Linked DNA regions of Oryzias latipes. The protein of the gene in region 1 purifies or fractionates together with the protein of each later gene. This does not show direct contact. Links are inferred from orthologs where the notes say so. Each region holds a gene or a part of one and is shown on either strand. Other genes may lie near its edges.

Region 1 (3,500 bases):
TAGAATGTAGCACCAAAATAAAGTAGTTATGCGAGTTTGTAGACTCTGCTGACGGTACTAAAATGCTTTGGGTGAAACCAGTTTATCCTAATTCTTGTCCAAATGAAAGTGAAATTGCAGAATGACATGCCTGCTACAAACTAGTGCGAGAAATTGAAATCATGTTTGTTGTTGTTGGTTCACAAACAACTCTTTTCAGTTAGAGATGTTCACAAGTAAAATGGATATAGCCTTTAAATTAGATTTTTAAAAACGTATCTGTTGATTTGACCCATTCATTCATACAAGCTTAATAAAAAGTTGTCCTATATGTATTTTGTGTAGCCTGCACTAAATTTTGGTTGTTGTTTTTCTCTTGTAGATTCCAAAGGCTCAGCCAGTTGCCTTGATTACCAGTCCAGAAGACTCACAGAATTATGAGGTGGCCAGGCAGTGTGTAGAGGAACTGGCCCTTTATCTCAAACCCCTCAGTAACAGCCGAGGTACTTTAATACTTTCAACAACTTTCTCCTTCTATCCTTATTAGTTCTTTACGCACAACTTTTGCTCTCATTTTCTTTTATAACCTTCACAAAAGTTCAGACACATTCATGGAAACTGCCATTATATGTACAGTATTGTTTTCAATTGTACTACTTGTTTACAAAAATAGAAAAGCAGTTTCAAAATGCAATGCAAAAGTTCAATATCCCGAGGAAAAAAGGAATGCAGAATTATCCTTAGCATTCTAATGTGGTGCATAATAAATGTAGATTTGAAGCTTTAATTAATAGCTTTTTTTAAAATAAATATGATTTTCCAAACAATAATAGTGTTTTTGCGTAAACAAAGGACATGTGGCGTCTGTAAAGTTTTCCTAAACAAATCTGTAAAATACTTATATGATACATCAGATGGTTATAAAAAAAGGTTGTTGATGATTATCTGAATATTGTCAAACATCCAAAATATTTTCAAGACCAAATTCACTTTTATTGGTCCAATATTGTTTACACATGAAATCTATTTTTTTTACAAGGAAGAACAAATTGATTTTGCTGCTTTCATTTGATGACATTTTCCACTTTCTGTATTTAAGTAGCTCTCCTTGCATAGTCAGTTTTTTATTTTTTTTAATTTAATGTGCTTTGACCAAATACAACACTTATAAACTGCAGCATTTTGCTCATTGGTGTATTTTGTCAGAAATCATTGATCTAATGTATTTTTTCATTTAACTTTTGCCATTATTATAAAATTTATGGTGCAGTTTCATTACTTTATTTTTATAATATTTAGTTACTCTGTGAAAAATCTAGACTAAACTAAGTGTCTAGAAAGAGCTCAATGCATTTTTTAATTAGTTGATTCGTCCACAAAAAGGAATTCAAGGAGTTTTGTACTTTGGAAACTAGATTTTTACTTTAAGCATTGTGATGTCAATGTTAATACTAATGGCTCATAACAAGAACGTTTCCACTACAAGTCTTGGGTTCATGTTCTATTGACTTTTTTGTTCTCTCATTGTGGTTATACTCTAGGTGCTCCACTCGTTTATGTTTGCATCGACCTAAATGTAGAGGGATATTTCTGTGCTGAGCTGTTTTCTTATTGGTTATTTTTTGATTAACCTAGCCTGTGATGCGTCTGCAGGTGTGGGTCTGAGCAGTACAGCCCAAAGCATTCTGAGTCGACCCATGCAGAGGAAATTGGTAACTCTAGTCCACTGCCAGCTGGTGGAGGAAGAGGGCCGCGTCAGAGCCATGAGAGCTGCCCGCTCCCTGGGTGAACGAACTGTCACTGAACTCATCTTGCAGCACCAGAATCCACAGCAACTCTCTTCCAACCTTTGGGCAGCTGTTCGTGCTCGGGGATGTCAGTTCTTAGGTCCAGGTAATTTTTTTAAAAATTTCTGAAGTTTAACCGGGAATGCGACTGTGCATGTAATTAATAATTTTTTTAAAGATTTTTTTTTTTCCTTAAGTCTTTCGCCATGTAACATCTTTATTGTGGATTTCTCCTCCCATAGCAATGCAAGAGGAAGCTCTTAAGTTGGTCCTCCTTGCTTTAGAAGACGGTTCTGCTTTGTCCAGGAAAGTGTTGGTTCTGTTTGTGGTCCAGAGGCTGGAGCCTCGCTTCCCTCAGGCCTCTAAAACTAGCATAGGCCACGTGGTACAGCTCCTTTACAGGGCTTCCTGCTTTAAGGTACGTCTCCATCCGTCAACTAAACGAATGTCTCTTTTTTTTAAATATTGGACAAATAAAATCATTCTGTCTTGGTGTTGAGATAAATGTTTCAGTAATCATGTCATTAAATAATTTCTTTAAGCGTTGAACAGAGTTGTCTGTTTTGGCCCTTTAGGTCACCAAACGTGATGAAGATTCATCTTTGATGCAGCTGAAAGAAGAGTTTCGTACTTACGAGGCTCTAAGACGTGAGCACGACTCTCAGATCGTACAGATTGCCATGGAAGGTGGATTACGCATAGCACCTGACCAGTGGTCTTCTCTGTTATATGGAGATCAATCTCACAAGTCTCACATGCAGTCTATAATAGATAAGGTACACAACAGTTTGATTTTGCATTCAGTTTATTTCAAAATACATCATAGATATGCCTGTTTTGCTACACTTGTAGTTTTTTTTGTTTTGCATTTTCTGTACTTAATTGGTTCTCATTTAGCTGCAGACCCCAGCATCTTTTGCCCAAAGTGTCCAGGAGTTGACAATTGCACTGCAGAGGACCGGAGACCCAGCCAACCTGAACAGGCTGCGGCCCCACTTGGAACTGCTGGCAAACATCGACCCCAGCCCGGGTTAGAAAACTATTTTTTTTTATAAATTTGTGTTACACAGTGAAGCAAGAGCATGCCAGTTCAAGGAATTACATGACATAATGCAGACTTTGAGTGGTTTCTAACTGATTGATTCTGATTTATTTTAATTTTTTTTAGATGCTCCTCCTCCTACGTGGGAGCAGCTAGAGAAAGGGCTTGTAGCAGTGAAAACAGTGGTACACGGGCTAGTTGACTTTATCCAGAACCACAGCAAGAAGGGAGCTGACCCTCAACAGGTCAGTGTTTGAGTGACTGCACACTGCAAAAGAATATTGAAACGCTGTCAGATGGATGGATCTGGATTTTTGATCTAAAAGGTCGAACGCTATTCATGTTTAAATAGTCATTTTTTTTAAGTAATTTCTTTTCCTTGAATACCAGCATCTTGGGCAAAACAATTGGCAATGTGTTAAGTTGACTTTTGGAGAATCAACACACTGCTTCCACTAAATATGTTTCACAAATGATAAAGTTTGTCAGCTGTTGCCAAAAGCTCCCTTTAAAAATAGTTGTTCTTCTTGTGGCTGTCCATCAAATCTGGAAGTCTTAACAAAACAAATATGTCGGCAGAATGATTTCATTAAAACAAATATTGGCTTTTAAACCTAAAAAACGGTTACATTGAAATATAATTATTTTTACAACCTGATGTATAGATGGATGCTGTAGTAAATTATGGGATC
Region 2 (4,263 bases), on another chromosome or scaffold:
TAATTATAATTGGAGGAGACCTGAATATGGTGTTAGATTGTCGACTGGATAGATGGCCACTACAAACTAATAATCCTAATGCTGAACTACTTTAATTTATACAAAGTTTTCATTTAAAAGATCCTTGGAGAGAAGAATCCAAACAAGATCAAGTTTTACATGGAGCAACAAAAGTATCTCCCGGCAGTCACATATTAGCCATATACTGGCTTGTTTTTGATCGTCTAGATACAGATGATATTAATATTAACATTTTTTTTTTAAAGATGGCAGTCAAATTCCCCGAGCCCTAAATCTAGTAAAAGATTTTTCTAATGGCCCTGCACTTCATCTTAACATCAAAAATGTGAAGAACTACCTATCAAATTTGACAAAACACGATCCATATGTAAAATTCCCATCACATACATGTAACACACCTAGGGATTACTATCACCAAAAATTATGGAAACTGTGTGTTGGCTCTCCAGCAGCAGCAGTTGTCTCTCTTGCCGCTCGGGAACTCTCTCCCGACGCCAAAGCCGTTAAAGACATCCCTGTTACACACAACCGTGTTTGCTTCTTAACTCTTAAATAATGGACACAGGAGACATTTCATTCTGAACCTGAAGTGCAGCTCCCCACTCACTTCGTCTTGACTATGATGAGAGGCTGCGCCTTCCTTTTTATTTTCAACTGCACGTAAAAAAAATTGGCGCATGCTTACGTAATAACATAATCAGACAGAGATCGTCTATGGTGACAGACATTGTACTCCAACACTGTGTAACATACCTAGGGATTACCATCACCTAAAACGAACATAAGAGAAGTTCTTCAAATTTCAGTCCCTAGTAAAACGTTTTAACTTATGGGTTTTAATTTAGGTCTCTTACCTGAGCCTAAAAGGCAGAGTACTGCTATCTCTACCTTCTCTTAACTCTCTCTCTCTCCCTCTCCCTCTCTATCTATCTATTTAAATAAAACAAATGTGAACGATTATTTGGTAGGAATAATTCATATACCATTTCCACCTGCTGGACTGGAGAGAAACTGAAGAAAACTACATCACCCAAGATGCAGTTCACCGGAAAATACGACTAAAAAATACTTCAAGCTAATGGCTCGCAGCACTATCCCATTCAGGGTCTTATTTCTTTCTCAGTCCTGGAAATATTATCTTTTGTAACTCTTTGGTTCGATTGATAAGTTATACGTTCATTTAATCTATTTGGATAATTATTTTTAAAAAGATGATTGATGTTTTGACGAGTTTCCCGGTTTTGTAGCTTATTTTTAAGCTAGGCTAACTTGATGCTAACCGCGTTATAGGATCTCAATCGAGATGACTTCTGGGCCACCGTCCTCCACTCTGCGTCTTCAAAGATGAATAAGCGGGTAAGAGCGCCGCTATAGTTATACAGAAAGACTTATCAGGGACCCCGGTCAATCTCTGCATCCGATCGAACTGTGGCGGGGAAACGATGACTCTGGCTCCAAAGGAACTGTCCAACCTGCTGAGCATAATCTCGGATGAGGCCTGCAACAACAGCTTCGAGACCCTCTCCACTCATTTCCATCATTACTTTGGGAAGGCGGACCACTTCAAGGTGGGTTCGGTTCTGGTCATGCTGCTGCAGCAGCCGGACCTGCTGCCCAGCTCTCCGCAGCGGCTCACAGCCCTCTATCTGCTCTGGGAGATGTACCGAACCGAGCCGTTGGCCGCGAACCCGTTCGCCGCCGTGTTCGCGCACCTGCTAAACCCAGCACCTTCCGGGGATGAGCAGGAGAAAGCCCTGTCCGGTAGGGCCGCTTCCTTTCACCTTTAGCCCGACGTCTCATCAGAACCGCAGCCGCTCAGTCTCTGTTTCGTTGGGTCCAGGCTTCCTTCCTCCCATCACGCAGCCGGAGAAGTTCTTCCTGTCCCAGCTGATGCTGGCTCCGCCCAGAGACCTCTTCAAAAAGACCCCCAGACAGGTGTCCTGCATGGACGTGAGCAACATGCCCCCATCTATAGACATCAGCGGGCTGCAGCTTCCTTTAGCAGGTCAGTGAAGGTTGTAAGGAAACATCTCATCACAGGTGAAGACGCCGTCAATCCCAGCCCTCTTTTTGCAGAGCGCCAGTCAGAGCTGCCCACCCAGAGCAAAGCCAGCTTCCCCAGCATCCTCAACGACCCCGATCCAGACTCCTCCAACTCAGGCTTCGACAGCTCTGTGGCCAATCAGATCATTGAGTCTCTGGTCACAGGGCTGCGTCCTCCTCTGGAGAGTAAGTGCTTTTTTTCACACAAGCTGTGATCACATCTGTGGAAGAAAGAAGGAATCTCCTCAGAAAAGATGGTAGCCGTCTCCTCAGCAAAAACTCACGGTTACAGGTTGATCGGCGCCGACCTGATCTGTTGAGTGCGATTGATCTTTAACTGATACTTTAAAAAAAAAAGTGTTTGAGTGACTGTCTAGAAGGTTTTTGCTGAAGTTATGTCATTTTTCAGTAGTTTTATATTAAAGTATTTAGACTTTGTTCAAAGGCCGTCTGTCTGAAGGTGTTGCTATGAGGCATGGTAAGTACCAGTTTCTCAAAACCCTCCCAGGTCATTTTCGACCCGAGTTCATCCGGCCGACGCCTCCGCTCCACACATGCGAAGATGAGCTGGCGTGGCTGAACCCCACCGAGCCGGACCACTGCATCCAGTGGGATCGGTCAATGTGTGTGAAGAACAGCACCGGCGTGGAGATCAAACGCATCATGGCCAAGGCCTTCAAGAGTCCGCTGTCGGCTCAGCAGCAGTCCCAGGTAGGTCTGATGCTGATCAACAACATGTTTGGTTTACACAAAGGCAAAGTCAGGGTTAAAATAAAAACTTTATTTAAAATAGGAACTCCTGTTCTTTGCAAAGAAACAAAAACTTAACTTCAGATCTGCTCTTTTTTCATTTTTAAATCAAGATTTATCAAAACAAAAACACAATTTGTGGGAAAAGTATTTGTTTCTTTTTTAACCTTTGTCTTCCTGGATTAGTTTTCTGGTGGTCTTAAAAAAAATCAACCTTTATTTTTCCCTTCACTCAAAAACTTTATCGTCCGTTCCCTAAAAGACAAATTATTTCTTGTGGAGGCGTTGACTCCTACTGCTGTGCACCGCTGTCACTCCTCTGTATTGACCTCGCCGTGTGTGCAGCTGCTGGCTGAGTTGGAGAAAGACCCAAAGCTGGTGTATCACATCGGCCTGACGCCTGTGAAGCTGCCTGAGCTGGTGGAGAACAACCCACTGGTGGCCATCGAGATGCTGCTAAAACTGATGCAGAGCAGCCAGATCACAGAGTATTTCTCAGTGCTCGTCAACATGGACATGTCGCTGCACTCCATGGAGGTGGTAAACAGGTGGGGGCGGGGCTTTGGCTGTATTCAGACCTGTTAACGAATCTCCAGTTGGGTTCCAGTTTGGTGCTGTTTCTGTAGTTTGGAAGTGATGGAGTTGTTTGCTCTCCTCCGTCAGGTTAACCACAGCTGTGGATCTGCCTCCAGAATTCATCCACCTCTACATCTCCAACTGCATCTCCACGTGTGAGCAGATCAAAGACAAATACATGCAGGTCAACACGCGTTCTTGGAACTGTGAACTGCTGAAGAGAGCTCAAGAGTTTTCCTCTGGAATAAAAACCCGCTTGATTCTTGCAGAACCGCCTGGTCCGGCTGGTGTGCGTCTTCCTGCAGTCGCTGATCCGAAACAAGATCATCAACGTCCAGGACCTGTTCATCGAGGTGCAGGCCTTCTGCATAGAGTTCAGCCGCATCCGTGAAGCGGCCGGCCTCTTCCGCCTTCTGAAGACCCTGGACACTGGGGAGAACCCGGCCGAGGCCAAGCCCATCAAATGAGCAGGAGTCCTGACATCAGAGGGAGCAGGGAGCCGTACAGCTCAGTCATGAGAGGACGTGCTGTAAATATGCAGCTCTGCGGAGGATCTTTGTCACTGACTCATCAATTTTTTCTTTATTAAACCCTCGAGTTTGTATTATTTTCGATGTCATTTCCTGAGTGATCAAATGTTGCATTAAGTCAAAGCTGCAGAAATTCCATAAGCTGCTATCACTTCGGCAGATTTACTGGAGCTCAGTGAAACATTTGAACTCAAAAGTGTTTTACTCCTTATTTTGTCTCCATAAAATTGTTGAGTGTTTGGTTCTTGTGTGCAGAGTTGTATGTTTGCAAAGCGTGACACAAGTTCTGACCGTTTTCTTCTGCTCCCAGTTTTCTAGCTTTTAAAAATGTTGAGGGTAAAGT
Region 3 (4,074 bases), on another chromosome or scaffold:
TACTCCGAACCAGAAGGACAGAACCATTTTTGAAATGGCTACTCGTGTGGAAACTATTAAAGCAGACGATAGCCGGGGAAGCCAGAGCAGCGTTTTTATTCTGTACAGAAGATGTCAAGTGAAAACATCCAGCTGTGCCGGTCCACCTCCAGGTCACACAACCTCTTAGGAGTTGGCATTGGGCCCCTTCTTCTTTCCAAAAGTGGGAACTACGTTGACGAAACGCCGGTTGTACTGAATGCGGCGCTTGGCGCGGCCGGTCTTCTTCTTCTTTTTCTCCTGCTTGTCCACCTGGACAACACAAGAACTGAGGGTTAGGAACGAGAGCATCAAGCGCCTCACAACATCAGCTCCAAAACGATACAAAACCCCAGGTTGAATTATATTTGGCTTAAAAAGCTCTCACCTTAGGAGTCTGTCCTCTCACTTTTCCAGCACGAGCCAGAGAGCCGTGCACTTTACCTGTTCGGAGGACAAAAGGTGGTCTTTGATTATTGAACTCTCTTGTTTATCTGAGAATTGTGCACAAAGCCACACAGAATGAGAAAATGAAGGTTTCATCTTTCTTCTGACCTCCCAGCAGCCTGCCGGCCACCTCCAGGGTGCAGAATTCTGAGACGCCACACGACACGAGGGAGGCATCATCCTCCAAAGGACAGCCAGTGAGCATCAGCACCTGATCCTCCACCAGGATTCCCTCCAGAGTTTGGACATGAGCCTGAAAGAAAACCAAGTCATGGTTTCAAGATTCCTCCACCGGAGGCGTCGTTTTGGTAAATTCAGGTGCTGAGTTACCTTGATCTGGCCAACCGTCTCCTCTCCGGTCACCTCGAGGGTGTGAGTGTTCTGGGCGCGCAGGAAGAGCTGCATCTTCACGCTGAGAAGACAAACAACAACATTAAGAAGCTGGTATAAACAGATAGTGTGGAATCGTGGGCAGTTTGACGACTGAGCATTTCATTCAAGCCAGTATTATTAAACAACAGCTTCTATAAGGAACTGAGAATGAATGGGACAGAGGACAAACGTTCTAAAGTGCTGAACCATTCTGCAGAACTCCTCCAGGTATCTCCATGCCAAAGCGGAGAACATGAAAACCTTTACAGGAGCACATTTCTCATCCAGTCAGGCAAACGTTGGTGGATCCCTAGAGCAGTAGTCCCCAACTCCCTGGACCGGTGCTTATCTTGTTAACTGGCCACTACTAATCTTATTCTGGATTACATTTTATTGAATTAATATGGTGTATTGTCAGCACCACATCTATCTATAACTCTTGACGTAGTAGCTCGCCTTGGTCACGCGTCTTGAATATCTGTGCCGTCTTCCTGAAGCATCTGCTCCGCCACTTAAAAACCAACGGCAACCAACTAATGTGTTGAGGACAACATAATAGATATGAAAGATGATTTAGACTCAAATTAAGAGTAAAAACAGTGTTCTATGAAAAAAATGTAGTTAGGCCTTTAATAAATTTTAATCAAATCAATAATAACTCAACTTCTATATAAAAGCTACATTTTAAAATCTTTTTACACTTGATGTTGGACTATTATAACTTTTTAAAAAAGATGTTTATATAGTGGTCGATGAAAATGTTGCTTTATCTTGGCCTGAATAAGAAGCTTACCCAGAGAAAAGAACTGCATTATTTACCCTGGTATATTTATTTACATTAGCATAAAAAACAACAACAGCCTTGTTAAAACTCTAGTGGGACTTGTGCAAAAAATAACAGATTTAAGAGACATTTCTCAATTTGTCAAACCTGTTACTGATCTAAGGTTTAAGAAATTAGGATTATTTGTTTCCCACTTTTAAATAAATGTGGATTTGCAACCAAAGAGGCTGACACTTTCTCTACTAAATATAAGATTTGGAGATCAGTTTAACAACAAAAGTTCTTTAATATTGAATAAATCACATTACATTTTTGCTTTGTTTTTATGAATATCATTATTTTGTAGGTTTGATGTCAGATTTGTATGTTTAAACGTACTTACCTTTTTAGTTTTTAACCAGACAACAGAACATTCTGTCATAGAAAAAACTTTAGCAATAAAATAAATTGTTGAGCTTCTCAAAGGTCGTTATTTTATCCCCTTTAATCGTTCATTCATATAAAAACCAACCTATTTTGCCTTAGTAATAAAACTTGTATTTTTCAGCACACTTGGATCGTGTTTTTTCATTAACTTCATGAATTTGCTATGATCAACTTTTACAGCCAACATCAATTTAATCAGACAAAAAGGGATATTTTTATTATTTTAAGCCTTAATTTTTAGTCACAACGTGTTGGCGTTAACTAGCGTTCACGTGCAAACTTTCGAATTGGTTTAGGTTTTCTGGTAGGTAAACATAAACGAACTAAATTGTCTTTAAAAGTAAAATATCTAATTTCTACGTTGGTACTAACCCAGTTCTGTATGCAAAAGTAAAAATTTTATCCTAGTAGAAGATGATCAGAAACGCAGTTTGGAACTTAACCTATCTCTTCCGGCTAACTCTACTAGCAATGCTAGCCACATGGAAATGCGCTTCACAAAATTCCCTAAAAACATCAAAATTATCCCTCGTGTCACAATATACGCGTCCGCAGATGGTTATTAAACGTTTTAAGAGTACAACAAATGTGTTAAAATACGTGCTGAATTGTTTGTATGCATAGTTTTGACTCAAAAAACAAAAGGCCTAACCTCGTTTGATGCTCGTTGATCGGCGATCAGCGGAAAAAGGGCTGTCTTAAGGGTACGCATGCGCATGTGCACGATTACGTAGGCAATTGCGTATGTAGCCATTTTTTCTTTAAACTTTATTTAAAAAATTAAAAACAAAGCGAGTTGGAGAAAAGCGGGGGAGGCAAAGAAAATCTTTTTGACACGCTGACAAAAGGAACGGTAAATGTGTTGGTAAAAGTTTTGAGGTTGAAAATACAGAGGATTAAGATAAGAGAAAGGCTTATACATGGGAAGGACATCATTTATGTGAGGTCAGGAAGGAATACGAACCATAAAAAACTAGGTATGATTGACAAAACTTTATTGAAAAATTGCAAGGACACCGCTAATGTGAGTTAATACTTTCACTGTCAGGCCTTTTATAATTGTCCAAAGATAACATTTAAATAATTTATAAAGGTGTTTGACTAAGAATAGATTCATGTAATTGTAATGGTTTTAAAACTGTAGTTTGCTTGTACAACGTCGAATCTTTGTATTTATCCAATATTGGAAACAAAATATTTGGACCAAAATAATAGCACCAGATTTAAGAAAACTGTCCAAAAAATAAATAAATCCAACATGACACTTGAAGATAGTAATCTCTTTATTATGAAATAACTTTTTTTTAAAAAAAGAAAGAAAATCTTCATTGTCTGAGAAACCAACATATTAAAATTGTACCAATGTGGAAGAAACCATGACTCAAACATCAATGAAAGCCTCATTTGCAGGTTTGAATCTAAAACAGACAAAAACTAACCAGTAGGATTTAAAAAAAAAAAAAAAAAAAGCTAAACACTGAAATATTAACCTCCCTTCAAACACCAGTCATTTCCTCAAAAAGGTTTTTGGAAAATATAAGCATCGCTAAAGGAATACAGCAGTCTTCACTTGAGCTGAATCGGTCCTAAACCCCCCCAGAACGCTTTTGACTTCTGGGTTTAACTACTAAACAGAAGTGGGAGAATAAGAAATGAAAATCATGCTGTGCAGAGTTTGGGATTCAACGCAAAGGGTTCCTGATAACCAGCAAACTGATTTGAGGAGGTCTGGGTCTTCACGCCAGCCGTGTCGATCATGTAGGAGGAGGGGGGTAGTACTGGTTGTACTGGTTGTACTGGCCGTACTGTCCCCAGGAGTTCTGTCCCCAGGCCCCATAATGCTGCAGAGGACAAAGAGAGTAGAGTTTAACCCTGAAGATGAGCATCAGCATCTGTACGGCAACACAGAGGTGACAGCCCACCTGGTACCAGTTGTAGTTGTAGGCAGAGTTGTTCGCCTGCATGTCGGTCATTGAATTTGCTGCGACTGCAGAGCCATCGTCGGCACGCTGCCTTTTGGCATCTGG
Region 4 (3,500 bases), on another chromosome or scaffold:
TGAGGCTCTGGTGGAGCAGGTGCAGGAAGGCGGGAATGGACCGACCTCTCGGATCCCCAGTCATCTGCCTCGGGATGAACTCGGGACAGTTGATGAGCTGGGAGAAGTCTGTGTGCGTGTTGTTGGGTAAACTCAGGCCGGGCAGAGGCCACTTCTCTGGGTCCTCCTTCCTGCGGATCTTCAGGTCGATCACCTCCACCTCCTTACTGTCCTTGAGAGCCTGATGACAGACACAGCAATGGTAAGTAAAGACTCGCCAGAAAGAGCTTCTGTTGTCCCTGGAGAAGCAGAGTCTGCAGATCAGAGGTCTAAAAGTTCTCCCCACAGATGCTGAATCAGAGAAGAGACATGAAAAACTCATAATTTCTGCAGAAACCTCCAAGTCTGAAGCTTCCCTGCATTCAATAAGCTGGTTAACCAGCACATTTGTGTTTCCGTGGAAACTCTAAAGCATCAATACAATCCCGGATGCAACTGTGATGAAAAACCACAAAGCTGAAAATCACTAAAACATCTAGAAGAAAGAAAAGGGACGTAACACTAAAGAGGTCAAATATGAACCACGGTCGTGCTTTAGGGGCGGCCAGTTTCAAGCTCAACCTTCAGACACGATCACAGGTGCAAGGTCAAATATCTGAACTTTAGCATAGAAGACGCACCGTCAACCAATCAGGGACTCAGCTTTGGCCTGTGACGTACTGATGCAATCATTGGGCGGAGTCCAAACCAACACGGAGGAGAATCTGATGGTTCTGAACCTTTTTTTTTTCTTCATTCTTTATTATAATATAAACTATTTGAAAAAAAATGTTTCATAAAAAACAAAGCTTTTTTGGGGTTTTACACCAATATTTCTCAATCTTGCTCGTTTCAGTCGCCGTTTTGCATCAGTCAAATCATCAAAATCCACTAACGTCAGGCTCCTTCAATGCAGACTGCAAAAAGCAGATGACAAACTGAACACCTGAGCTCCAAAAACCTGCCACAACCAGCCCGCAGAAGGCTTTCCCGTCCTAGCTGAGCATGCGTCTCCATAGCGACGGCAGAGGTGGACTCGTCCGCTCCTGCTCACCTCCAGGATGACGCTGACGTCTGTGGTGAGGGCCTGCACTCGGTGAAAGCTGGCGATGAGGCTGATGGGCAGGAAGCCCTCCTGATCCATCTTCCTCCTCAAGAAGAAGTCCCGCTCCAGGTTCTCCAAGCTGAAGTAGTACTCTCTGCAGAGGAAAGACCAGATCCACTCAAGTCACCAACAAAACGACACAAACAAATGCTTCAACTGATGCCGTGGCGTCCGTGGTGGAGAAGGAGAGGAACCAAGTTCCCAGGAGGGAAGCTGGTATTTGTGGAAACAGAAACCACATTGTTCAAGGTTTAAATATAGACAAGAAGCAGGTTCACTTTGAGCTTCTGCTTCAGGACAAAACCTGCTTCACAGCTCAGATCAGAGTCAAAATTCTCTGCTCATGATTCATCAGAGAAGAGACATGAAGAGCTCATCACTTCTGCAGCTCCTCCTCCTCCTCCTCCTCGTCCGTATACGCCTCTTCCCAGCGAGCTGGACTCACATCTGTCTCTTGATGTAGTCCTTCAGCAGGTCCTGGTCCACAGAGTACAGCTCAGCGCTGCTCATGTTGTCGTAGTAGTACGTGACGGAGTTGCCAAACTTCTGGCTGTAGGAGCCGTCCTTCCCGTCGTAGGACTTGTAGGTGCAGTGGTAGTCGTAGTGACCTTCCAGAACGGAGAACCACGTTAACAGGAAAAAATGTTAGTTTCTCTGCACATCAGATGTTCTCGAATCCAGATTATAAATGTAAAAAGGGCATCAGGTTTAGGGTTTTAACTCTTTTTTATGACACAAAAATAAAATATACAATAAACATTTAGATAGGGACAATTTTTGTCTTTTAAAAGCTGAATTCTGACGTTTTTTATGTGAACATAAAATATTTCGTTTTAAAGAATTGATCCTAGAGTTTCTTTTGATATATCAAATATGTTGTGCTGCCATTTTATTTTCTTAATTTTAATGATTCATTACTATTATTATATGTTTTTGGTGTATATTAGGCGTAGTGATGGGATGTGTATCGCCTTTCTGTTTGGAGTTTTTTTTTTTTTTCCTTTTGTTCTAGGTTTCAATGGGGGGAGGAAAAAAAAGTGTAATCATTGTTATCACGTGTTTAATATTGCTGCTCTAAAATCCAATAAAAACAATTTTGAAAAAAAAAAAAAAAAAAGAATTGATCCTCTGGTTTATCAACAACAAAAACAAGCAATAAAACATTAAAAAGCAGAAAAAAACCACATTTATAGGAAATATCCTAATGGAAATTAAATGTATTTAGTAGCAAATAAACAATTGAAACTGAACAGAATAAAAACAAAATGTTTTTGTTTTAAAAATCTGGGTGTAAAAACTGTTCAGCTGTAGTTTTAGAACTTTAAAGGCCATAAAGAGAAAAAGGTTCTAACTTAACAGTCAAATCTGACAGTTTGGCAACAAAGTTGATCAGCCTGAAGCTAAAATACGAAGCGTTTTTCTATTGAAAATCAGAAATAAACACGTCTAAAAGGGAAAATCGTTGCTGCTGAGTATTTTTGTCGTCACCTGTTCAGCCGGCTTTCACTTCCATGTCAACAAAAAATAATCCAAACAAAGAACCACAGAGTCTGGACAAAAGTGAGACGCTCCTGTGGAAACAGGCCGCTTAAGGAAGAAGCGCAAAAAAGTGAGGAGAACAAAAAAGTTTCTTTTTTTTTTTTTAAAGAACGTGAAAAGAAGCAGCTTTGGAATGAAGGTTTTTCCTGCTCAGCTGTTCTGGACGAAAAACAACCATGAGTCATTTTTAGCAGCCAGTCATACTTTCTGTTTCTCTTCTGGGCTTCCAGATGTCACAGAACTATAAATAAACTACAGAGAATGGCTGTTTTACCAGAAGCTTTAAGCCTGACTTTAGGTCCAGACTAAATGTCAGAGCGGTGAGCCGCAGATCAGAGCTGTGCGGGTTTTTCTCCACAAGATGTTCAATCAGAGAAGAGACATGGAAGCTCATCATTTCTGCATCAAGCCTCCAGGTCAGGAAGCTCCAGGAGCCGCTTGGTGCATCCATCCAACCACCACCAACTTTCCCAAAGGAGCATCAGGAGCATCTCCATCTGAACTAATCATGTTTGGGGTTTAACCCCTTCAGGGCATGTTGCCATTTAAAACATTGAAAGCATTTGAACAGACGTGGACGCCTCGCTCACTGACTGACTGACTTTGGCTTTACAGGTCAGACTGACTGCAGAACCTGCGAGTCAAAGAGCAGGGCAAAGCCCCGTAAACACATGTAAGTGTTAGTCACGTCGCTTGTGTCAGCTGTTGGAGAGGAGAGGCTGGCGCCGCAGCGTCATGTTTGAGTCTGATCAGCAGAGAGGATGAGGAAAAGGATTACCTCTGCCTCCTCCTCTTCCTCGGCCCCGGCCTCTTCCCCGTCCGCGTCCACGACCTCTGA
Region 5 (4,131 bases), on another chromosome or scaffold:
GATGTCATCAGCAGCTCTGCAAAGAACAGCGTCTCGATGCCTTCTTCCTCGTGCTTCTTGAACTGAATTCCTGAAGTGGTCAGGAGCTCGATGGAGTCCTGCGCGTACATGTCCTCTCTGGTTAAAACAATAAATACATAAATGAAATAAATAAATAAAACACATCTCTGTTTCTAAGCTTCACGCTTTCATTCCAAAAAAACAACAAACAAAACGCCACAGAATAACCATTAAAAAACTTAAACTTTGTAGGTTTGCTCAGCAAAGAGGGAAACCTTCAAAAAAAAACTTAAGGCAGGAATAGATCGACTAGGATCTGACTGGATGCTGGAAAAAGTGCAAATTCTTCCATTTGGGAACGATGGACAGAATAACGCTTGACTTTGAAAAGCATCGTTGAACCCACGGGGGACCAATCGTGTGAGAAGGGATGAAAGCGCCGCTCTTATTCTGAAAGACAAATGCTTCTCCTGTAAGCCCCGCCTCCTCCGTCCCAGAACATCCACCATGGATTTCTCCAAGAATCTTTAGATGTTTTACATGATTCACAAAACAAACATAACTTAAAATTTTTTTTAAAAAGCCACCCAAGCTTACGTAAAAAAAGTAAAAAAAAACCCCATCTGTTTAACAATAAAAAACAATTAAAAAAACACCTGTGCTTCCTATTTAGAGCATGCATTATTGCTATTTTTTTCATTAATTACTTGTATTTTTCAGGCAGCTTTGATCTGTTTTTTTTTTTTTAAATATAAAAACTCCTATTTTCATTCAGGATGCTTTCTCTTCGATTAATTTAAATCCCCTTTGTGCGCCTACCCCCTCTGATAAAAAAAATGTAAGTTGTGTTTTTGGAGGGCTTAACATGTGGTGGTGGTTTTTTTTTTTGATGATACATAAAGAAAATTAACCTTCGTCTTCCTCGTCTGAGCTGGCTCGCCCTTTTTGTTGCACCGGTCAATATCAGGTCAGGCGGTATGAGGGGGCTGTAAGCTACCGGGAGATTGTGTAAACAGAGAGCTCTCAGCAACAAGGAAGGAGAATAAAGGGTAGAAACTGCAGAAACTATATCCAGGAAAATGACAACTTTTTTTTGTGTGTGGCTAAAATACGGAATAACCATAATTTAAATCTGATTGGGAATGCTTTTAAAATAGATCAAAGGCATATAGGACTTTAATGTGTTTTGAATTGAATTGTTTTTACAGATTGTGAAGTCGTTCATGGGAATCCAAGCGGACGAGTCTGTTTAGACATAGTGAGAGACTCACGTGAGGCTAAACTTAAAGTTGAACTGCCACGTTGACGTCCCGGGGGGGTACTCTCCCTGCTCGTTCATGAAGGTCAGGCCCAGCTGGATGATCTTCAGCAGGTCCACGTTGCAGCGCAGCAACTGGTACTGATAGTCGGCATTGCTCCGGAACTCTCCGATGGGTCGGGCTACAACTCCTGGAAACTCTGTGTCCTGAAAGAGGCAAGAACGAGGGACCGTGGACACCAGTGACAGTGGGTGGGTGGGAGGATGGATAGATGGATGGATGGATGGATGGGTGGGTGGGTGGGTGGGTGGATGGATGGATGGATCGATGGTTGGGTAGGTGGATGGATGGATGGGTGGGTGGATGGATGGATGGATGGGTGGGTGGATGGATGGGTGGGTGGATGGGTGGGTGGGTGGGTGGATGGATGGATGGGTGGGTGGATGGGTGGATGGGTGGGTGGATGGATGGATGGGTGGATCGATGGTTGGGTAGGTGGATGGATGGATGGATGGATGGATGGGTGGGTGGGTAGATGGATGGATGGATGGATGGATGGGTGGATGGGTGGGTGGGTGGATGGATGGGTGGGTGGATGGGTGGATGGGTGGGTGGATAGGTGGATGGATGGATAGGTGGATGGATGGATGGATAGGTGGATGGATAGGTGGATGGATGGGTGGGTGGATGGGTGGGTGGATAGGTGGGTAGGTGGATGGATGGATGGGTGGATGGATGGATGGATGGGTGGATGGATGGATAGGTGGGTGGATGGATAGGTGGATGGATGGGTGGGGTCTCTGAGCATCTCTCACCATTGCGATGTAGTTGTACTTTCGGATGACGTGCCGGATTCTCTTGAGCTCCTCTTCCAGGTTACTGGCCCAGACCTCACATATTCTTTGGCTGTGGTCTACAGTGGCTGCGGGCATAGTGCCACTTCACCACGCGTGGAGATGGGGGGCGGGGGATGATGAGAGCATCATGAAAACACAGACAAAGCAGCCGAAACCACATGAAAAGAGCCGCTTAGTTAGTAGTAGAAGTCATGTGTGTTTTAGCCGCCTGCTAGCTCGTAATTTAAAGCAGCACTGTTGCTAGCTTGTTACCTGTTAACAGTTAGCGGGTTGGAGGTAAAACTTCCGAACAAGAGGAGTGGCGACTGTGCGGTTTTCTCACACAAAACATTAGTTTCGATCAACTACACAGGAGTGGTTGTACAACAGGACAGGCACGAGTAAGTAGCAGCAGTGCGCGCGCGCGCACACACGCCGGGGCGTCACTTCTTTTCTTTTTTTTTTTTTTGGGAGACTGCAAAGGTTTTGTTTCGTTGACTCACCGTTCCCCGAAACGGGCGCGCGCGTGTTTGAGCGTGTGCTATCTGAAAGCTGGCCGTGTGTTCTGTGATATCTGTCAGCAGGGAGGGGAGGGGGGTGTTCCGCCAACTTTGAAATACTTTTATATTCAGTGGGGCTTGATGTCAACCTACGGCTGCCATCACAGCGGACCCCACACAGTGACGTCATTACGTAAAGTGAAACGTCAGGACGTAAGGACGTTTCAGGATCCTCATCCGTAAAATGTGAAAAAAGGTTTTCCAATAAATGTTTGTAAAGAGGAATATATAAATTTTAAAAAGTACAAATAAACGTTATATATTTCTTATTAATTACTAATTTATTCAAGGTGAACAGGCTCTCGTTGAAAGTGTATATATAATTATTTTCAAAGGATATATTATTTTTAAAAATTATACTGTACAGATTTTTTTTATTTTTTCACAAAATATATTTTCTTTTCAATTTATATTAAAGTAAAATAAACTTTTTTTTGCCCCTAAAGTTATATTATTTTGGTAAATTACTGAAAAAGTTTTACACAAATAAAAATGTTAGCCATGAAACCAAAAAGGCCACATTTTAAATTCAAGTAAAACATGATGCAGAGATAAATTCGTTTTTCAAATCACTTGTTTTAATAAAAAAGTACAATTTTCACAGACGCATCATAATCCAACGTTCGCATTTTTGTTGATTTTGATCATTTTATGACCACTCTAAGATGAAAAAAAAGAATGCATATGATTGACATCTTTAAGGGAAACATTTTCAACAAATATGGACTAGAGGACATTTAGGGTGAAAAAGATTTTACCTTTAACTTTTATTGTTGAACACAAACCCTCAATAACCAATATGTTGTGTAAATGCCCTTATAATTTTTCATACCTTATGTAATTTTTGTAATGTTTAATTTTTTTCTATGTTATCTGTATTTCATTCTTTTTCTTTTTCTTTGACCTTTAACCCCTCATCCCGTAAGTTAGTAATTCATAACATTTCATTTTCTCCAGCACTTCATTCACAAAGGAAGTTTTTTCAACATTGAGAATAAATTCGGGCATGAAGTATTTTACACAGCTGCAAAAATGATGACACCAGTGGTTCTTTTTGTGATGCCAAACCTGAAACTATGACCCACATTTTCTTGATTTGTACACATCCTCAGGTAGGATGTGTACTTTTTAAAACAAAATAATTTATTTATAAACATATTGTTGCTTCACTTCCTCATCTTCTATTTATTTGCAACACAAAGACAAAATGGGACAATCTCCCACTATGTAATTTTTTCTAAAATAAAAAAAATCAGTGGCTAATATAAGATTACAAAAAAATCGTTTTTAGTAAATATTATTGCATTTAGGCTGCACGGTGGCGCAGTGGTTAGCGCTCTTGCCTCACAGCAAGAAGGCCCCCGGTTCAAGTCCCGGCTGGGGGACGTGAAAAACAGAACATCAATGGGGGACCTTTCTGTGTGGAGTTTGCATGTTCTCCCCGTGTATGCGTGGGTTTTCTCCGGGGTCTCCGGC
Region 6 (4,018 bases), on another chromosome or scaffold:
TTAGTGGCCGTTCACGTTAAATAACATTTCTACTAAATAATGGTAAATGCCGTATACTTATTTAGTGCTTTACAAGCTTTTTAGAAGGCCCAAAGCGCTTTACAGTCACAGTCCCATTCACCCATGCACACACACTGGCGCCAACCTTCCACCAGAGGTAAGGTGGGGTTCAGTGTCTTACCCAAGGACACCTTCCTGCAATCTTTTGATCAGAGGTCGACCCCCTTCCACTGTACCAAGGCAGCCCGTAATAATGACATGTTAATTTTGACATAAAACTAAACAAGTCTATTTTTAGGTTGATGTTGCCTTTATTTATACGTTTGGTTGGTAAAGGATATTCATGGTTAAAGCAGCAGAAAATGCTTTTTCAGATGACCTGCAAACATGTATGAATGGCACAAACGAATTACAAATATGACTCTGCAGCTATATTGTTACGCAATATCAATACATATTAGAAAACATGTTATTTTTAGGTCTCATCAACTTTACTCACTTGAGTTCTAAGTTAATTGGAATTAAACATAAATCAGTACTTTTTGGAGAAATCAATATAATTTTTTGTATCAAATTACCTATACTTGTAAGTTGAGGTGTAACAATTAATCAACATAACTGATTAATTGATTTCTACTTCTACGATCCAACCAGATTGATCTGTCTGAGACAGGTTGTCAACCAATCGACCTACAACAGTATAAAATCGTTTCAAAATGAGACAAATTAATTATAATCATTATCGGAATTTAGCATTTGCATCACAGCAGACAAAACACACGTGATGTAAGCAAAAAATGATCAGTCTATTATTCCAGTCCAATATGTGGAAACACTTTGAATTTAGCAAAGACATGCGACCATACAGTGTGCTAGAATGTTCTAAAAATGTTCCCTTTGGATTATTTTGATGTGGAGAAACAACAGTGGACTGAACTTTAGGAAATTAAGAGGTGAATGGATTTTACATTAATTCTTGTTTACTTGTTTGGTTGTACACACATTTAATTTACACTAGATTATCTTACAAGAAATACAAGGAATCTGGAAAACTTCACCTGCACTGTTCAGTACCAGGTATTTCTGAGTCACACTGGAGGAACTTTTGGCTAAAGATGTCCTGGATCCATTTTAGGTCAGTAAATCGTTTCAGATCAAATGAACCAATACAGACTATGAATTGTACTGGCAACCAGAAATTAGGATATGAATCGAATCATTACACCCAGATTCATGAGTATAATCTCATCCAGTTCACTTCCATGTTCAATAACAGGTTTTTGAAATTTCAGTTGATCATTCAGTACCAACATCTCGTATATACAGCTCGTTGTGAATAAAACTGATCTTGTTTTAATTAGTCACATCCTTGATATGCTGCAGTTGACGCTGATGTCATTGTCCCACATTGGACGTGTGTGATGACCTATGCTTATTGTGCTGTAATTACTTAAGCATGGGAACCGCGGTGCAAACGTGGGACTTTTCCCTTCACGGGATTTCTCCAGCCGAATGTTTGTGGACAAAACACGCGAGATTCCCCACACAGAATAAATCACTTTTGCTTTTTAGTAAACAGTGTTTTACAGCAGTCAGTTTTCTGAGCCAATTCTTCCACGCTCCACGGCTGCAAACACAGTCAGTCAGGCAGCATCTTGCGTGACTTCACAACACGCGATAGGCCTGTCAGACAGCTAATGCTAGCGGAATGTCAACCAACCAGTAGCTCGCTCAACACTAGCGCACTTTCAGACGACTCCCTGGTTCCGTTATTTTCAGTCCCCGGCGGCAATTAGAGAAAGCATGAACAAATAGAGATGGGCAATGTAGCTACTCGGAGAGCAAAAGCAGCATTAGCTTACAGTCCACGTCTAACATGGCCGACAGGAAATGGGAGCACAGAACATTCCAGCGGAGCCGGCTCGGTTTCCTAACTGGACTCGAAACCGATACACTACAGGAGGTTGAAGTTTGGAGGAAGACTAAGTTAGTCTCTACAGACACAGGGTGGCACAAATAAAGCTTTTATTAGAGGCGTTAGCTAAAATAAAATCGGAAAGCAAAGCCGGCGCACAAGGTCAATCCCTGATATGTCAAACCAACTGTCACGCAACGTCAGCTTTAAAAAAGCGTGAGTTTCTCGTGTGACAGAGGCCTAGCGTGGCTCTCCTCGAGCGAGCCACCGAACTGCCACGGCGGTTCTGAAAATATTCAACCGTGCAACCAACAATCAGCAGGATAAAGCTTCAATTGTGGGAACTTAGCGAGGGCTCGTGCGCTCGTTGACATTAGCCAACTGAAGCTAGCAACAAGCTGACTTTTCGGGACGGCCTAACCTGTTTTCTTCGCCTGCGTTTCCTGATGCTGGCACTGGATGTGGCTCTGATCATGTTTCAGACGAAGTGTGTGTTGAGTATAGTTTCTGTCCTCTCCGTGGTGATGGTTTTGCCTGTCTTGTGCCCGATCTTTGGGCTGTTCCTCCATTGAAGTGAAGAATGTCGGACTGGTTGAGGCGGTGTTAGCTCCCTCTTAGTGCCGAACAGTCCAATCACTACCAGAGTGAAACGGAAGCTATTTGAAGCCCGTGTAAACGTCAGCAGCAAATGTCTAAAAATGGCTCTGTTTTGGGTGGTCACCGCCACTTAAATCCACGTCCAGACCCTCTGTTGGCCATTGCAGATCATATTCAAGCGCCTTTGTCGATCAAATCTGCATTTTACTCTAGAATTAGAAGTTAGGAGAACAATAACCCCCCCTGTCAGGGTAGGAAATAACGGGGTGGGGTTCGTGCATGAGCCAAAAATCATATGACCCGAGGCGCTGCCACGTCTCCAGCCAGTGGACAACCTTTGATGGAGGGTCAGCCTTTAAATAAATGCTTTTTGTTTGTTTTAAGTCTTCTAACTGCTGTTTAATATACATACATACGATCAGATACATAAAATATTGGACTGTTTCAAATTTGTAGAATTGACAGTTGTTAAATCAAGAACTTAGTTCAAAGGGGTTTCGCCTCAATTAAACTCAATTCTCCTTTTCATTGTAATCATAAGATTTAAAACACGGGATTGCAGTTATAAATATCTAGAAACAATAATAGGATAGTTTCTTCATTTATGCTTTAAAAAATGAAAGAAAAAGTGTAATAAAAAATACTCGTAAATTTGTTAAGTTTTAGAGTTAATTGAAGCGCCTCACTTTTCAAAAAGTGGGAGAAGTCTGGAATCTTTGAACAGCTCACGCGTTTAGATAATCGTTGAAACAATGCCATCTAGTGGCCACGAGTGGAAGTCCTCAGATTATAATCTCTATTATGAAATTGGCTATAAATAAATATTTCAGATCAAAGCTTTGTCTATTTTTTAAGTTTGAGATTAAAATACATTACAAAAAATACAGCTTTAACATTACATAATTTATAAGCCACCATTAAGACAATTAATCATACAAAATATGTTTTAAATAGCTAATATTCACAAATGATGAAAGTTAAGAATCAAGCAACCTTTATTCACTTCTTCCCTTCTGTTCAGTTAAAGCACTCTCTTGATTCCAACACACTTTTACTGCTGATGTATGCAGTCCTGGCCCCCTTCCACTTGACAGCTACTTTTATATGAAATATTCATATCACTGCTTCATTTAACAGCAAGATTTATTTTTAAAAATGGAAGGTTTCCAGAGAACAGTACTCTCCAGGCACTTGGTTAAACATATCCTGGACACTATTTTTAAAATAAATATGTTGGCAGGTTTATGGCAACTTTTGCCACTTTTTTTCTTTTTTTAAATCAAATGATCCCTCAGATGATTTTTTATGGAGGAAAAGCAAAGACCTGTGCAATAATGGGATAAGAAAATTAATATTTGTTTAATAAAAGTTATTCACTCTAATTTACATTTGTATATCATTTCATCAAGAAAGAGTTGACCATATAGTTAATGTCTTATTTCTGACAAAAGTATTTGGTTTTCTTTTAGACACAATATGAGCACCCTTTCTGACAACTTGACAGAA
Region 7 (2,951 bases), on another chromosome or scaffold:
CATCTTTGCGTTTTACATGAGGTACATCAAGTCGTTGGTGCAATTGGCTCTAAACTGAGAATAAAAGTCACAGTTTTGAAATAAATATAAATTTTTAGTCCAAATGTTTTCCTCCAGATTCCATGTTATTTCTCTCTTTTATAAGGTAGATTACCAAAACTGGCTCCTGGTCTGGTTCTTCTATTGAACCCTTTGTGGCCCACGAGTCTCAAAGTTATCCCACTCCTGATCTACAGCATCTCAAGCATTTTATTTTAAACCTCATTTCAGTAAGAGGAGGAAACTCATAGGATGAAAAAGATTGTTCTGTGCATGCAGTCAGAATCTGAATGGTAGAAATCTGCATCAACAGACCAGCAGGCCAAGAAAAGGACAGACGCCTCCACGAACATTGATGAGTAACGAACGCAAGAAGCACTTATGAATTATGTACATCACGCATGAATCACAAAAGACCACAATTTCATAAACCGAAACTTGCACAAAATATACAAAGTGGCTGTGTGACACGGCCTTAAGAGAGGACCAACCTTCTGGGAAAAGGCCTTCCAGGTACAGAGGGGCAGGGAAAAAACAGCAGTCCGTCGCGTCACGGCTTCTCCTCTCTGCAGGTTTCTGGGTCACATCTATGCCGCTGAAGCCCTCATCTCACTGGACCGAATCTCAGACGCCATCAGCCACCTTAACCCAGAGAATGTGAGCGACGTGTCGGTGGGTGTTGTGAGCAGCGATCCGGATCAGGGTCAGTGGGCTTGCTCTTTACAATAGAAGCTGCACTTCTGCTTCCTGCGTTCTTATTCTGTCTGGTCAGCAGGTCCAGAGAGGGGAGAAGAGCCAGTGGAGCCTTGTGAGTGTTTGCACCTTCAACCCACTGTAAGTTGGAACACTTGTCATTTTCATCACTGTGACGTCCTGCAAACGCAGCAGGGAAGAAGACGCCTCTATGTTACCCCGGCAGCGTGGCGGCGGCTCGCTCCATCATGCTCTTCAACCTGGGCAGCGCCTACTGCTTAAGGAGCGAGTACGACAAGGCCCGCAATTGTCTGAACCAGGTCAGTGCCTTGGTCCACACACACCTGAAAGCACCGCCATCGCCAAAGCTGCTCGCTAAGACTATGAAGAACTCTAAGAGATACGCTGCTGTTTCTGCAAGATTGCAGTTTGAAAGGGAAAATGTATTACATATTACACTAGGGGGCGCTGCTTGGCAATTTCCTATGAATTTTGGCACCAAAACACCACCATGAATTAAAGGAGCAAAAGGCGGAGCCTCAGAGATCGAGTCCTCTTACTTCCGGGTTGGAAATCAGCTGCGAAAATAAAAAGAAAATCATACTTTGGTGTGCCAGAGGTGATAAATGATCATACATGGATATTGTTTACTATAACAGGCTTAAGACTAGCATGGTATAGGCCCTTTAACAATAATGAGTACTTGTGATGTTTTAGAGATCATTTATGGTGAGTTACTGCTATTGTTTGTGTGGGGTGTTTTGGGTACTTTATTGGCGGTCCCCGTCTGCCTCTGCAGCTTCACAAACTGTGACTCGTTTTCTGCATCGCCACAGACAAAAACAAACCGTTCAAACTGGTCAATAAACCTACATCCAACTGTACTTTATCCACTAACACTCTGTAATGTTAGTGGATAAAGCAAGTAGGAAGAACAAAACAGACTGGTGAGATCATGACAAGCACACAAAAAACGGACCGTGACACATTCACAGGCATGCCGGCCGGCGACTTTTGAGGCTCCTGCCAGAGTATTTTGCCAACTGCATGTTTTTCGTCTGCTCCTGACTTAGAAATCCAACTTCAGTCTGTTGTGTAACGGCTGGTTTGGTCATCCTCAGGCTGTGTCCATCACAAACGGGAAGGAGATCCCCCCTGAAGCCATCCTGCTGGGCGTGTACCTGGAGCTTCAGAACGGTCAGTTGTGGGCCACACTCCTACATCCTGGAGGTTCTTTGTCTAACCGCTGATCTACTGGATGGAGGAGGTGATCTGTGGAGATCCACAACCTCACAGCTGCCGTGCTTCCCCTCCTCTCAAAAGACGTTGATGCTGTCTGTTCTGTGTCTAGTCATCCTAATGTTCAGCCTGCTTTTCCTCAATCCCCACGCTTGTGTGTTTTTAGGAAACACCCAGCTGGCCCTGCAGATCATCAAACGGAACCAGCTTCTGCCCATGGCCGTCCACAGGACCTCTCCAGAATCCCACAGGAAAGCTACGTCATCCCTGCAGTCCTTCCAGCCCCTCCAGCTGCCATCATCCTTCACACAGGTTCAGCGGAAATGAGCTTTTGGGAGCCCCCCCCCCACAGACCCAAGCAGCTGCTTCTATAACTCTACCCTCTGTGACTCTCGGAGAGCAGCACTTTTATTTCTGTTGACTTATAAATGTTTTTTTCTGAACAGTGTCAATAAATTTAACTGTCTTAAATCAAAGCCAGTTTCTGCATCATCGTCTCTCTGATTCTGCTGGTTGAACACATTTACCATGACCATCTGAACGGGACCCCCCCCCCCACACACACACACACACACAACTCTCACCCCCCTAGATTCAAAATAAAAACTGATGTGCAGCAACGGCCTGTAACTGGCGTTCAGTATCTTCTACTTCAATTTTATTTAAATAGCCCAATATTTACAACAATAGTCATCTCAGTGGGCTTCATACCGGTAACTTTGTAATAAACATGAATCAGAGCATAAAGTCATAGAATTGAATAGGTAATGGCTAAACTAAACTGGGCATCCGTGCCCAGACCCTCCTTCGCAGTAAGGATGGTACTTGTGATGTTTTCGCCATGGACTCTTCGGAACATGGTCAGGCAGTCCGGGAACCAAACTTTACACCTGAAAAGAGGTTGGCCGTTGTACCTCTGCACCTCACCCACTGAAGCTTTGGTTCAGGGAAATATCTTAATCTACAGCAAAAATACTCAT

What was found.
Region 2: the proteins of roquin-1 (region 1) and cnot11 purify together in Homo sapiens (affinity purification with mass spectrometry, with the first as the bait; 4 studies listed by BioGRID). This does not show direct contact. The link is inferred for Oryzias latipes from reciprocal best matches to the Homo sapiens genes RC3H1 and CNOT11.
Region 3: the proteins of roquin-1 (region 1) and fau purify together in Homo sapiens (affinity purification with mass spectrometry; 3 studies listed by BioGRID, with this or other methods). This does not show direct contact. The link is inferred for Oryzias latipes from reciprocal best matches to the Homo sapiens genes RC3H1 and FAU.
Region 4: the proteins of roquin-1 (region 1) and larp1 purify together in Homo sapiens (affinity purification with mass spectrometry, with the first as the bait; 3 studies listed by BioGRID). This does not show direct contact. The link is inferred for Oryzias latipes from reciprocal best matches to the Homo sapiens genes RC3H1 and LARP1.
Region 5: the proteins of roquin-1 (region 1) and CCR4-NOT transcription complex subunit 7 purify together in Homo sapiens (affinity purification with mass spectrometry; 5 studies listed by BioGRID, with this or other methods). This does not show direct contact. The link is inferred for Oryzias latipes from reciprocal best matches to the Homo sapiens genes RC3H1 and CNOT7.
Region 6: the proteins of roquin-1 (region 1) and nufip2 purify together in Homo sapiens (affinity purification with mass spectrometry; 3 studies listed by BioGRID, with this or other methods). This does not show direct contact. The link is inferred for Oryzias latipes from reciprocal best matches to the Homo sapiens genes RC3H1 and NUFIP2.
Region 7: the proteins of roquin-1 (region 1) and cnot10 purify together in Homo sapiens (affinity purification with mass spectrometry, with the first as the bait; 3 studies listed by BioGRID). This does not show direct contact. The link is inferred for Oryzias latipes from reciprocal best matches to the Homo sapiens genes RC3H1 and CNOT10.

The regions. Positions count from the first base shown.
Region 1 is NC_019875.2:24,168,794-24,172,293, reverse strand, and holds part of roquin-1, read left to right. Parts: intron 1-361; coding exon 362-482; intron 483-1,632; coding exon 1,633-1,872; intron 1,873-2,008; coding exon 2,009-2,184; intron 2,185-2,341; coding exon 2,342-2,542; intron 2,543-2,663; coding exon 2,664-2,796; intron 2,797-2,934; coding exon 2,935-3,053; intron 3,054-3,500. UniProt on the Homo sapiens protein: Post-transcriptional repressor of mRNAs containing a conserved stem loop motif, called constitutive decay element (CDE), which is often located in the 3'-UTR, as in HMGXB3, ICOS, IER3, NFKBID, NFKBIZ, PPP1R10, TNF, TNFRSF4 and in many more mRNAs.
Region 2 is NC_019879.2:14,490,649-14,494,911, forward strand, and holds cnot11 (CCR4-NOT transcription complex subunit 11), read left to right. Parts: upstream 1-1,463; coding exon 1,464-1,782; intron 1,783-1,861; coding exon 1,862-2,026; intron 2,027-2,097; coding exon 2,098-2,250; intron 2,251-2,572; coding exon 2,573-2,775; intron 2,776-3,159; coding exon 3,160-3,362; intron 3,363-3,477; coding exon 3,478-3,574; intron 3,575-3,659; coding exon 3,660-3,857; 3' UTR 3,858-4,164; downstream 4,165-4,263. UniProt on the Homo sapiens protein: Component of the CCR4-NOT complex which is one of the major cellular mRNA deadenylases and is linked to various cellular processes including bulk mRNA degradation, miRNA-mediated repression, translational repression during translational initiation and general transcription regulation.
Region 3 is NC_019882.2:10,168,123-10,172,196, forward strand, and holds fau (40S ribosomal protein S30), read right to left. Parts: upstream 2,801-4,074; 5' UTR 2,700-2,800; intron 878-2,699; 5' UTR 871-877; coding exon 796-870; intron 719-795; coding exon 574-718; intron 463-573; coding exon 407-462; intron 292-406; coding exon 166-291; 3' UTR 72-165; downstream 1-71. Other genes in the region: prpf39 (pre-mRNA-processing factor 39), read right to left, coding at 3,802-3,888, 3,970-4,074.
Region 4 is NC_019872.2:3,469,417-3,472,916, reverse strand, and holds part of larp1 (la-related protein 1), read right to left. Parts: coding exon 3,441-3,500; intron 1,732-3,440; coding exon 1,569-1,731; intron 1,218-1,568; coding exon 1,073-1,217; intron 221-1,072; coding exon 46-220; intron 1-45. UniProt on the Homo sapiens protein: RNA-binding protein that regulates the translation of specific target mRNA species downstream of the mTORC1 complex, in function of growth signals and nutrient availability.
Region 5 is NC_019868.2:26,784,432-26,788,562, forward strand, and holds the start of CCR4-NOT transcription complex subunit 7, read right to left. Parts: upstream 2,801-4,131; 5' UTR 2,599-2,800; exon of another isoform or gene 2,369-2,598; intron 2,199-2,368; 5' UTR 2,192-2,198; coding exon 2,075-2,191; intron 1,466-2,074; coding exon 1,272-1,465; intron 118-1,271; coding exon 1-117. UniProt on the Homo sapiens protein: Has 3'-5' poly(A) exoribonuclease activity for synthetic poly(A) RNA substrate. Its function seems to be partially redundant with that of CNOT8.
Region 6 is NC_019872.2:16,918,423-16,922,440, reverse strand, and holds the start of nufip2 (nuclear fragile X mental retardation-interacting protein 2), read right to left. Parts: upstream 2,801-4,018; 5' UTR 2,485-2,800; coding exon 2,337-2,484; intron 1-2,336. UniProt on the Homo sapiens protein: Binds RNA.
Region 7 is NC_019874.2:7,757,059-7,760,009, forward strand, and holds the end of cnot10 (CCR4-NOT transcription complex subunit 10), read left to right. Parts: intron 1-611; coding exon 612-742; intron 743-814; coding exon 815-847; intron 848-924; coding exon 925-1,052; intron 1,053-1,853; coding exon 1,854-1,929; intron 1,930-2,137; coding exon 2,138-2,298; 3' UTR 2,299-2,451; downstream 2,452-2,951. UniProt on the Homo sapiens protein: Component of the CCR4-NOT complex which is one of the major cellular mRNA deadenylases and is linked to various cellular processes including bulk mRNA degradation, miRNA-mediated repression, translational repression during translational initiation and general transcription regulation.